Coturnix japonica: one gene and its partner. The main gene of each other region encodes a partner of the protein of the gene in region 2 in a complex. Links are inferred from orthologs where the notes say so. Each region holds a gene or a part of one and is shown on either strand. Other genes may lie near its edges.

Region 1 (4,888 bases), on a different chromosome or scaffold from region 2:
ACTCAAATTGTTTCTACGAACCTGCCAGGCTGCTTCTGAGCAGAGCTTTTGAGCTGTGCAACACATCAACCTCCATCTCTCTCACTGTGTTTCCATTCCCTATTTTAAGCCGCATTTAAAGCCTTGCTGTTGTTGTGATTGGGGGAACGAGCCCTAGAGTACATCAGTCCCCATGGGGCTACTACTGAGGGCTGAGGAAATACGGGCTTGCCACCTTCCTCAGCGTCACCAAATGTCTGCACGTGTGCTTTGCAGGCTGGCAGGTGACCAGCAGAATTTCCCAGAATTGTTAAGAGAATACCCAGCAACTTGAACCTGTTCTTGTAATGCATGGTCTTACACTTTCATGTCCCCCCTGTGCTCCTCCATTTCATCCCCACCCATGCCACAGACAACTCAGCAAGCATAGGAGAAAATAGCTGTGTGTAGCATGGAAGGGAGGACTGAATCATAGAATCATTAAGGTTGGAAAAGACCACTAAGATCATCTAGTCCAACCATCAACTTGCCACTACCATGCCAAAAGTGAGCTCTTTGAACCAGACCCCTCACCAGAGCAGGCGGCAGTGTGTTGGGCCTGGAGGTGCATGTTAGCTGATGGGCTGGGTGAGAGCAGGCTGATTCCTTTCTAGTTATGTTTAATCACATGTTGAAAGACCTACTGGGCCTCATTTGGCCTCTCAGGTTATATAAAAGTGGCCCCAGCTCAATGTACCAGCCACAACCTGAACCATGCTGAGACCCTTCCACCAGCAGTGCCTCAGGGCATGAGCTTGGCAGCTCGCTCAGCAACCATCCAATAACCCAGCACCTTTCGTGGACAGCTGGCCATCTCCCAAAAGTCACTGCTCCCTGTGGCTCTCAAATATCACAAGTATACTGCCTAATTCAGCCATGCAAGAAATAACAGAAATGGGATTCAAGTATTTCTACTGAGGTTTCAGGCCAAGCTCGTGGCACATAAAAGCTTTTCCTTATTATCCCTGTGTTCTGTTAGTGGGGTGAAGCTCTCCTGGAGCTGCCTTTGTCCTCTTCCACCACCCTAGTGATGTCTGCCCACTTTCATCACACTACAACCCAGCACAACTCTACTGGACATGCCACAGGTCTTCCAGAGTTTCAGAAAGCTTTGAGCAGCCTCAGGACTCTCATTCCCAGCACCCTTCAGCACACATCGGCAACGTGCGTGCAATCTTATGTGTGCTCCCTGACAGCCATCGTGGCCCAGCTGCATGCCCCAGCCAGCAAAACAGCCCGGTTCTTCCTAAAGCACGAGGGAAAAACGGCCCCCAAAAGAGAGAAATCTCAGGCAGACGGGGCTGCTGCCAAGGCGCCCAGGGCAACTGGTGCTGAAGCAACATTTTACTTTTGCTTCCCAACACGGCGGCTTTGTTATGTCCCTGTGCTGCTACGGGGGTGTCCGTTTATTTACACCCCAGCAGGACAACGAGGCCACTTCAAAAAGTTATCAGCTTCTTTCTTACTTGTTAACACAGCAAGGCTTAGAATTACTTCCTTTCCTCCCCCGGAGTGAGCTGTTTTTCAGCATGCGGCCAAGCCCTGGTGTCTGCCAAGCTCCCAGTTCTGCCTCGCGCTTGTTTTCGACTCAGCGCCAAGCACACAACAAGCAACAGAGCAGTTCCACAGCCTTCGCATACCAAATGGCTGGCATCGACACTGCCCCAAGCCCCTCATCCCATATCTCCCAGGGGCTGGGACACACAGGCAGCTGCGCTGCCAGCAGCACGGGCACCCTGCGACAAGCGCTTCAGCGCTGCTTCCTCCCTCTGAACATAAAACTTTCTCAGGTCTTCACGATGGGGTAACGACCAAAGCATCCCCCACCCATAGCTGGAGGCATGAGACGTGTTGCTCACCGCACTGATAAGGCGCTAAACCTTACAATTACCCTCGACTCCAGCTTATGGAAGCCATCAGACCTGTTGTTTGGCCACCCAGCCTCATGAAAAGCCCCCGGAATAAACTGCTGGCTGGCAAGCCCTGGAGAGCAGGAACCAAAAGCCATAAAGGGAAGGAAAATGGATCTGGAAGTTCCCCTTTTAAGTAAAAGGATGGTTTACTAAGAGTTAGGTATATAGCACGAGTGAGGGAGCCTCCCCAGGAGCAGCAGCAGCACAGGGCCCTTCTGCATCCTTCCTGTCCCCATGGGACCCTTCCTTTCTGCATCCACACTTCTGCAACAAGAATGGCAGGAAGCCTGGAGCAGGAGGGAAGCAAAGCCCCCGGATAGGCACCGAAGCTCGTGGGGGAGCAGCCCAGGGAGACACAGCCCTGTCCTGCTGCCTAGAGAGGGAGGAGGACGGTCCCAGCTCATCCTGCAGCTGGCACAGCATCGGATATCAATTAATGCCGCTGTCGTCACCGTTTGTCAGCCTTCCTCGGTCACCGCTATGTGAGAAGAAAGGCAAAGCAGAGTCTCAAACCAGGCTGGATTCGGGAGCGCCTCCACCGCTCCCTGACGCGTCGGCGTCTGACCCAGAATTGGGAAAAACGGACAGGAACGCTAACGGTGACCTTCCTCCCCCGCAGGAGGACCCGCTGCCACCACCATGCCCAGGCAGATGAATTATTACATGAGAAACTTTCTCAGAAAAGCAAACCTCAGCACCTTGGGAATATCCGCCGGCTCCACTAAGTTCCCAAAGGCAGCGCCCAGCCCTAACCCAGCCCGCTCCAAGCGCTGCCAGGGCTGCGAGGGGCAGCGCCAGCCCCAACCTCCCCTGCTTTACGCATCCCCTCCGCACGGGGGGGCTCACCCCATCCAGCCCTCAGCAATCGAAAAACCGCACGGCAACAGGACGTGCGGGGAGAGAACAGAGAGCCGAACCCCCGCCCTCGCGCAGAGGATGCACATACATTAAAAAATACATCCATCTACGTGAGTGCATATAGATGTGCCGTATGAATAAATACATAAATAAATAAAGCTGCGTTAGCGCGCATAAAAAAAAACCAAAGGATAAATGATCCCCGCACCCCGCCGACCAAAAAGCCCTGATAGCAGGGTGCAAAGCTCAACATGGGGGCTGGCCGGTGGGGGAAAAGGAATAGAAAATACCCCGGCTCTAGCAGGACGCACAGCCCAACCGCCCTCATCGCGCTGGGGCTTACCCAGAAGATGAAGTTGAAGACGAAGAGCAGGTATTTGATACACTTGGTGCAGCCCTCTACCCCCATGGCGGCTTCGGCGGCAGCAGCTCCCGATCTGAGGCCAAGCTGGGCGGCGGCGGGGAGGGAGAGAGGGAGGGAGCGCTAGGAAGGGCCGCCCCCTGCCCGCCTCTCCCGAGCGGCGGGGGCCCTCCGGGTCCCACCCTCTAACGCTCTTTTTCCTTTCGATTGCTTTTTCCCTTCCCTCTCCCTTCCCCTGTTCTTTTTTTCCCCCCTCTTGTAGCCTTCCCACCCCCGCACCTTCCCTTTTCCCACTTGCTCTTACATTAAAACTCACCCCCATCTTCCCAATGCTTCCTTTCAGCCTTACACAACCCACCACCCAAAAGATCACCTCCAAATTGTGCAGAAGCACTCACCGTGCTTGCTTTGCTCCTTTCCCCATCCATCTGGGGGTATTTCAGGGCTCACCATCAAAGAGATCTGTGTCACACGCGCTGACATTTTTAGTATCCCTCACATTGCAGCTTGGAAGTTGAATTTTAAAAGCCAAAAAGCAGCACCACAGAACCAGCAGAAAGTTTCCTCACCTTCTAGGCTAACCTCACTTTGGTTCATCTGTGCATCCCTAGAAACACAGCCTGCTCACACCCTGCTGTGCAACCAGCAGGCATGGTTGCTTTTTTTTTTAGGGCTGGGGTACCAAAAAGTCAGAACAGAACTCAGAACACAAAAGCCTGATCGAAGGCAGGACCTTATGTGTCTAAAAGAAAAACAAAGAAAAAAAGTAGAAATGAGTTCAAGTGCTCAGACAGCACCCCTGGTGCCTGTCGAACCCTGCTTTGCCCTCTGCACCTGCTGAGCACCCAGTGAGAACTGAGGCAGAACAGAAGCCAAACCAGTTCCCCAATTACTGAGTGCATCCCCTAATCGTGGGCTTGCCATGGATGCATAAACCCTTTGTTTCTAAGCCCCATTTACTCATTTGGCCTTACCAGTGAAGCTGGAGGCTCACAGGGGTATTCATGCACCAGCTGATAGACTGAATCGTTGGCTGTAGGTGTAATCCTGCCTGGATCCTGCCTGTTGATCCAAAAGATAATGACAGGATCCCAATTTTTTTCCCCTGCTATGACACAGGATCCCACAATGCCTTGATTTCTGCCCAAAACAAGCAGGGTTTGCTGCAGGGAAGGGAAAGAACCACATGCAAACTGATAAGGCTTCAGCAGCAGCACAGCCAGAGCTGGGCTTAGGAAGGAAAGACACTCAAATCAGTGTCTGTGTGCTGGGAAGCTGGCAGCCCCACTGCAATCACTACCACCAAACTGGCACTGGAGCCACCTATGGGGAGCTTGGGATATTTGGAAGGTGGTATCATGGCTTTTGCTTTCTGCCTTAACCTATGGGAAGTAGCAAACAAGAAACAAAACTTTTCATACACTCCAAATGCTAAACAATCTGTCTCAGAGCTAATGTGCTCCTACTGCTAGGGCATCCCCATGCCTGAACCATACATTGTCCAGGGCTCCAGCTCAAGGGTCACAGATCCCATCTGAACCTCTCTGTGGCTTGGCAGTGGGGAAGTATTTCAAACTTTATCCAAACATCTCAGTCTTCTATCAATTTATTTGCTTCCAGGCAGCTCAGCCGAGCATGCTTGAAAACTTTGACCTCTGTACTGAAAAAAAAACCCCACACAACCCAAACCAACAAAACAAACACCAAGTTCCAGTGTCAAGGTAACACAGACTGTTTC
Region 2 (4,827 bases):
CCCTGATGGCCCCATAGGGCAGAGAGGGATGTGGGAGCCGGGGAGCTCCCTCCTGCCCACTGCCTCATATCTTGGTTCCTGCCTTGGCTTCTTTCAGCAGGTGATAAGAACAGAAGGAAACAGCAGTTTCCTAACTCCCCCAGCCTAGAATTATATTTGCTGGTGCTCACAGCAAGGAGCTGATGGTGTCACACACCGCAGCGAGACTCCAACCCCCTGCTGCCACCACCCCCCCCATCCCCACCGTGCTTCATCTGCATGCATTTCCACACTGCTGGGACTAATCTGTAAGAGCCCCCCCAGCCCCCAGCAGCAGCCAAGGCTGCACCAGTGAGGGCTGCACTGAGACATAAAGCTGGCCAGGTATGTGGATGGCTGCTGCCGTGCAAAGCGGAGCTGCAGCAACATGAGCACAGAGGCCTTCTCACAGGCAGCACTGCCCACAAATTTACACTGCACAGCTGAGGTTCTGACCACGGCCATGATGCTGAACATGATTGGAACGCTGATGGCTTCCTGGGTGCGTGAGAATGATATCAAGAAAGGCTCTTCTGTGGCTTTAAGTCCTGTAGCTCAGTGTGCTGCCATGGGCACAATGGACACACTGAGGTCCCGGTGTGGGTATGGCACAGGCACCAATTGGGAGGGATCGTCCCTTTGAGTCATTTCTGAGCCCAACCAGAACCCAAAAGCCCAGCCGGGACCCAGCGGAGCTGAGCAGCCAAGTTTCCCCTGCTCACCCTCCTGATTGCTGCTTCCTGAGCTGAACAATGGCGAGAGAAAATCCCCCGACACAGCGGGGGGGAAAGCTGACACAACCCACAGAAGGCACTGCCCCTTCTCCTCTGCATCCATGGGGGCAATGGGGACACAGAGCATTGCCACCCCCATGTACCTGGGGGCAGCAGGGAAGCAGAGCATCAGGGTGTCCAGGTACCAGAGGGTGGCCATGCCCCCATTCCCAGTAATCCCTTTTTGACAGCCACAGCAATGGGACAGGACGGTTTCCCCAACCCCAACCCCAAAAGCTCCCTAGGAACACATAGAAAGCTGCTGTTCTGCCCCACGTTGGAGGTGGGGGTTTGGAGCAGTCCCCTGTTGGCACAGGGTGCATTTTTTCCCCATGGCTCAGCCCCGGTGCGGGGACGTTACACCGTGTTCCTTCAGTACCATTAAATGAATGCGCTCATCGGAAAGGGAAGCCGAGGAATAACACTGTGACCTCTAAAGCTGGAAAAAACAAGAGCCCGGTGAGAAACCTTCCTGCTCTCTGGGTGACTGGGCACCAGGCATTCGATGGAGGCGGTGATGGCAGGCAGGCTCTGTGCATGATGTTTTCCCCACAGAGGGAAGATGTGCTCACGTCTCCAATGAGCACTGGAGACACGTGGATGAGGGGATTGTTGTGGCTTTGTATCCAGGCTCCTTAGATGCTAATGGAGGTACAGCTCTTTGCCCACAGCCTGTCAGCCATGGGGCAGGAGGCACAGTCTGGGGGGTGGATGGGGAAACTGAGGCATGGAGACACAGAGCGGAATGGAGCCATGCATGGAGAGCAGACCTGCCTTCACAGTGTGCCCTTGTCCTTGGCCTGCAGCCCATGGGCAGCCCACACATTGCTCACGGCATCGGCACGTCAGCCCCTTCCCGTCACCAGCGGGCGTCAGGCACGTGCCCTCGGCCACCAGGATGGCTGCAGATCGCATGGGAATGCATGGAGCCACGGGTCACCACAGCCCCAAAATGCAGCGAGCATCATCGGAAACCAAACCGACCGATTTAGTGCTGGTGTGAAGGGTGGGACTTTCAGCTTCTCAACCACAAACAATGGGGTGAATGCAATGCAAGGCACACACCAATGTGTGATGAGGGCTGCAAGAAGCTGCTCTGCTCTCTGCCTCACCAAAACCCTCGGCACCCTGCTGCAGAGCCAGGTACCTGGGCTGCAGAGCAGAGCCCCTGCCAAGGCCCAGCTGTCAGCGAGCTGATGGGAAAGGAGTTGGCGGCTCAGGACCGGCCAGCTGGCACACAGCAGCACCAGCACGTCCCTGCAACACCCATGGGTGACCCCATGAAGGTGCGCAGTGCTCAGCCCCGGGGTGCCGTGTCCCGGCAGCGTGCAGTTGTTTTGTGAACCTGTTGCTCTACGAATAGCACCCGCAGTGGGCTGCGGGATTAAGAGCTGGATGGCGACCAACTATGCGGTGTTTACAGGGTCGGGGCTTCATTCCCGTGGGAGCGGCAGACCCACCGCGGGGCGGCACCGTGCTGATGGGGCTGCCCAGAGCCTGGTGTGTGCCCCAAATCCGAGCAACCCAAAGCCCCCCTGGCTCCCTGCTGGTGGCAGCAGGCTTCTGTGCCAAGCAGACCGTGAAATCCACGTTGGCCGGCAGCCCTGCCCGCAGCCGTGCTGCCAGGGGGTTATTCCAGGAGATTTCATCCTGCTTTCCCACCGCTGCTCTGCGCCCCATCCCTTTATGGAGCAGTGGGAGCAGCGTGCCGGGACCGGCAGCAGCAGGCGCAGGGCTGCAGGAGGAATCCCCCGGCGGGCATCGGGCTGCGAGAGCGCTGTGCTGAGACACGCCGGCTGCTCCGAGACGGCACCGAGCGGGGTGTGCTCGTGGGCCCCCGGGTTGGCGAGCCACACACGTTGGTTGCCATGGCATGGAATGGAATGGTGTGGAACGGCACAGAATGGAGCGGGATGGTGTAGAACGGAACAGCAGAGCGTGGCATAGAATGGCACGGCATGGCGCGGAACGGCATAGAATGGCACGGCACGGCACGGCATAGAATGGCACGGCACGGCACGGCAGAGTGGTGCGGCCTTGGCAGGGCTCAGCTGTGCCGAGGAAGCAGCCGCGAGCAGCTGCCCCGCGAGGCGGCTCCACGGCCCTGGAATCCAGCCCGGCTGCGGGGTACGGAGCCCGATTTAGAGAGGAAAGAGAAGAGCCCGTAAGGACAGAGGCTGCGCGCAGAAAGACCCCGAGGAGCCCCATTCTCTACACGGACAGAGGCGTTACACCTTGCGCTGAGCCACAAAGCAGTCGGCACGGAACGCCCGCACCGCGCCCGCTGCCGGGGGCCGAATCCCGGCCCACAGCCCGCAGCATCCCCCCGCTCCCCACGCAGCCCCGTCGTCACCTCCGCATCCCCCACCGCCGCTACCTGTGTCCATTTACCTGTGCCGGGGCCGGGCGGGGCGCGCCGTCCCGACGCCGCTCGGCGCTGCTCGGCTGGACGGAGCTCGGCGCTCGGCTCGGCACAACCCCCGCCCCGCCTCCGCTCCCACCCCACCCCCAGGGCAGGCGGTGACTCAGCGGGGTGGGATCCGGCCGAGACCCCTGTGCTGCGGCACCTGCTCGTGCGATGGAGCCGGGCTGGGGGGCGGGGGGACGGCGGGCGGTATCGCCCCCTCGGGCCGGGGATCGGCAGAGGGAGCGCGGTGGGGCGGGGGAAGTACCCCCGGGAGCTGGGGCTGGAGGGCGGCCAGGGGGAGGAAAGGAGTTGTACGGCTGCCAGGCTGCACGCCCGGCTGGGAAAGGGATTAAAGAATAACAGCCGATGTGAGAGCGGCCGGGACGCGGCGTCCTAAGAAGCGTGTCCTGCTCCGGGCAGGAAATGAGGGTGCGGGCAGTGGGTGCTGAGCGCGGTGCTCCCCGTGCCCGGCACCCCCTGAGATGTGGGGTCCGGGACGGAGCCCCGACGGCAGCGCGGTGCATGCGGAGCTAAGGCGGCGTGGCCAGGTTCCAGCCCAGCAGCCCTTTGTGTGCGCTGAAAAGGGAGAGCCGGCTTCCAAGGAGATGGCGGGGAGGTGGCCAGGAAGCGTAAATACTCAGCCTCTCACGGATATTCCCAGAGGGCTGAATGGGACTTTTCTTCTCTTTCATGCTGCTGGGGGAAGGGTGGACGCGGCGGCACGGGGACAAAAGGCAATCAACGAACCCAAGGTGCCGCGGCCACACCGGGAACAGGGGTGGGAACGGGATGGGAATGGGATGAGATCGGTGCTCGCTGTGCCTTAGGGGGTCCCAGCCCAGCACCTCGTGCTCCGTTCACATCACCCATCAGCTGTGGCCTCTTTGTTCAGCTGCCCCCGGGCCGGCACACGCTGCATCACGCGGCCACACCGCAGCCAGCGCGGCTCCTTTCCGGGCAGCCATCCCCTTGTACCCGCATCCCTCCCATCCCCACTCCTCTCGCCCTGCTCCCGTCTCCTGGTGCAGGATGCAGCCCCCCGTGCTGACCCCCGGCCCCGGGATCACAGCTCCTATAGGGAAAGGACACCTCGGGCCGTGCCTTTGCTGCCGTCCAGGGAACAAAAAGGCTTCTGTCCACATCAGGGCGTTATCAGGAGGTCGGTAGAGTTATTTTAGGGCTGATGTCTGCACTTGTTGATGTTATCGGATGATGTGGAAGTCAGCAGGGCTCGCTGCTGCCTTCAAAGACCGATGTGGAGCACTGGGGGAGGAAATCCTCACGTTGTCCCTGCGGGGGAAATTTGCCCTTGGGCTCCGGCCAGCAGCACTCCCTGAACCTGATAAGGATTTACTGCTTGAGCTGAGCAGTTCGAGCCTTGGGAACCCCTGTGGATGGAGAGCCCGTGGATTCCAACCCATGCCCAGAGGCACTGCATGAGGCTGAGCTCTGGGCAGGTTGGAGCGCCAAGCCCTGCAGAACCCCTGCATGCACCCTGGGCTGCAAACCTGCATCCTCATCCCAGCTGCTGCCCACCCCCCGTGATCCCCACCCAACCTGGGAGCCAAATGCTTGAGTAGCTGAGAAAATACACCTGATAGGGCTGTGGGAAAGATAAATAGAGCTGGC

The links. Proteins that work in one complex are often made in the same cells at the same time.
Region 1: ADGRG1 (region 2) and CD81 share a complex: the UniProt entries of both Homo sapiens proteins name them as parts of the GPCR-tetraspanin complex. The link is inferred for Coturnix japonica from reciprocal best matches to the Homo sapiens genes ADGRG1 and CD81.

Annotation. Positions count from the first base shown.
Region 1 is NC_029520.1:10,912,360-10,917,247, reverse strand, and holds the start of CD81 (CD81 antigen), read right to left. Parts: upstream 3,270-4,888; 5' UTR 3,199-3,269; coding exon 3,133-3,198; intron 1-3,132. UniProt on the Homo sapiens protein: Structural component of specialized membrane microdomains known as tetraspanin-enriched microdomains (TERMs), which act as platforms for receptor clustering and signaling.
Region 2 is NC_029526.1:1,923,579-1,928,405, reverse strand, and holds the start of ADGRG1 (adhesion G-protein coupled receptor G1), read right to left. Parts: upstream 3,309-4,827; 5' UTR 3,183-3,308; intron 1-3,182. UniProt on the Homo sapiens protein: Adhesion G-protein coupled receptor (aGPCR) for steroid hormone 17alpha-hydroxypregnenolone (17-OH), which is involved in cell adhesion and cell-cell interactions.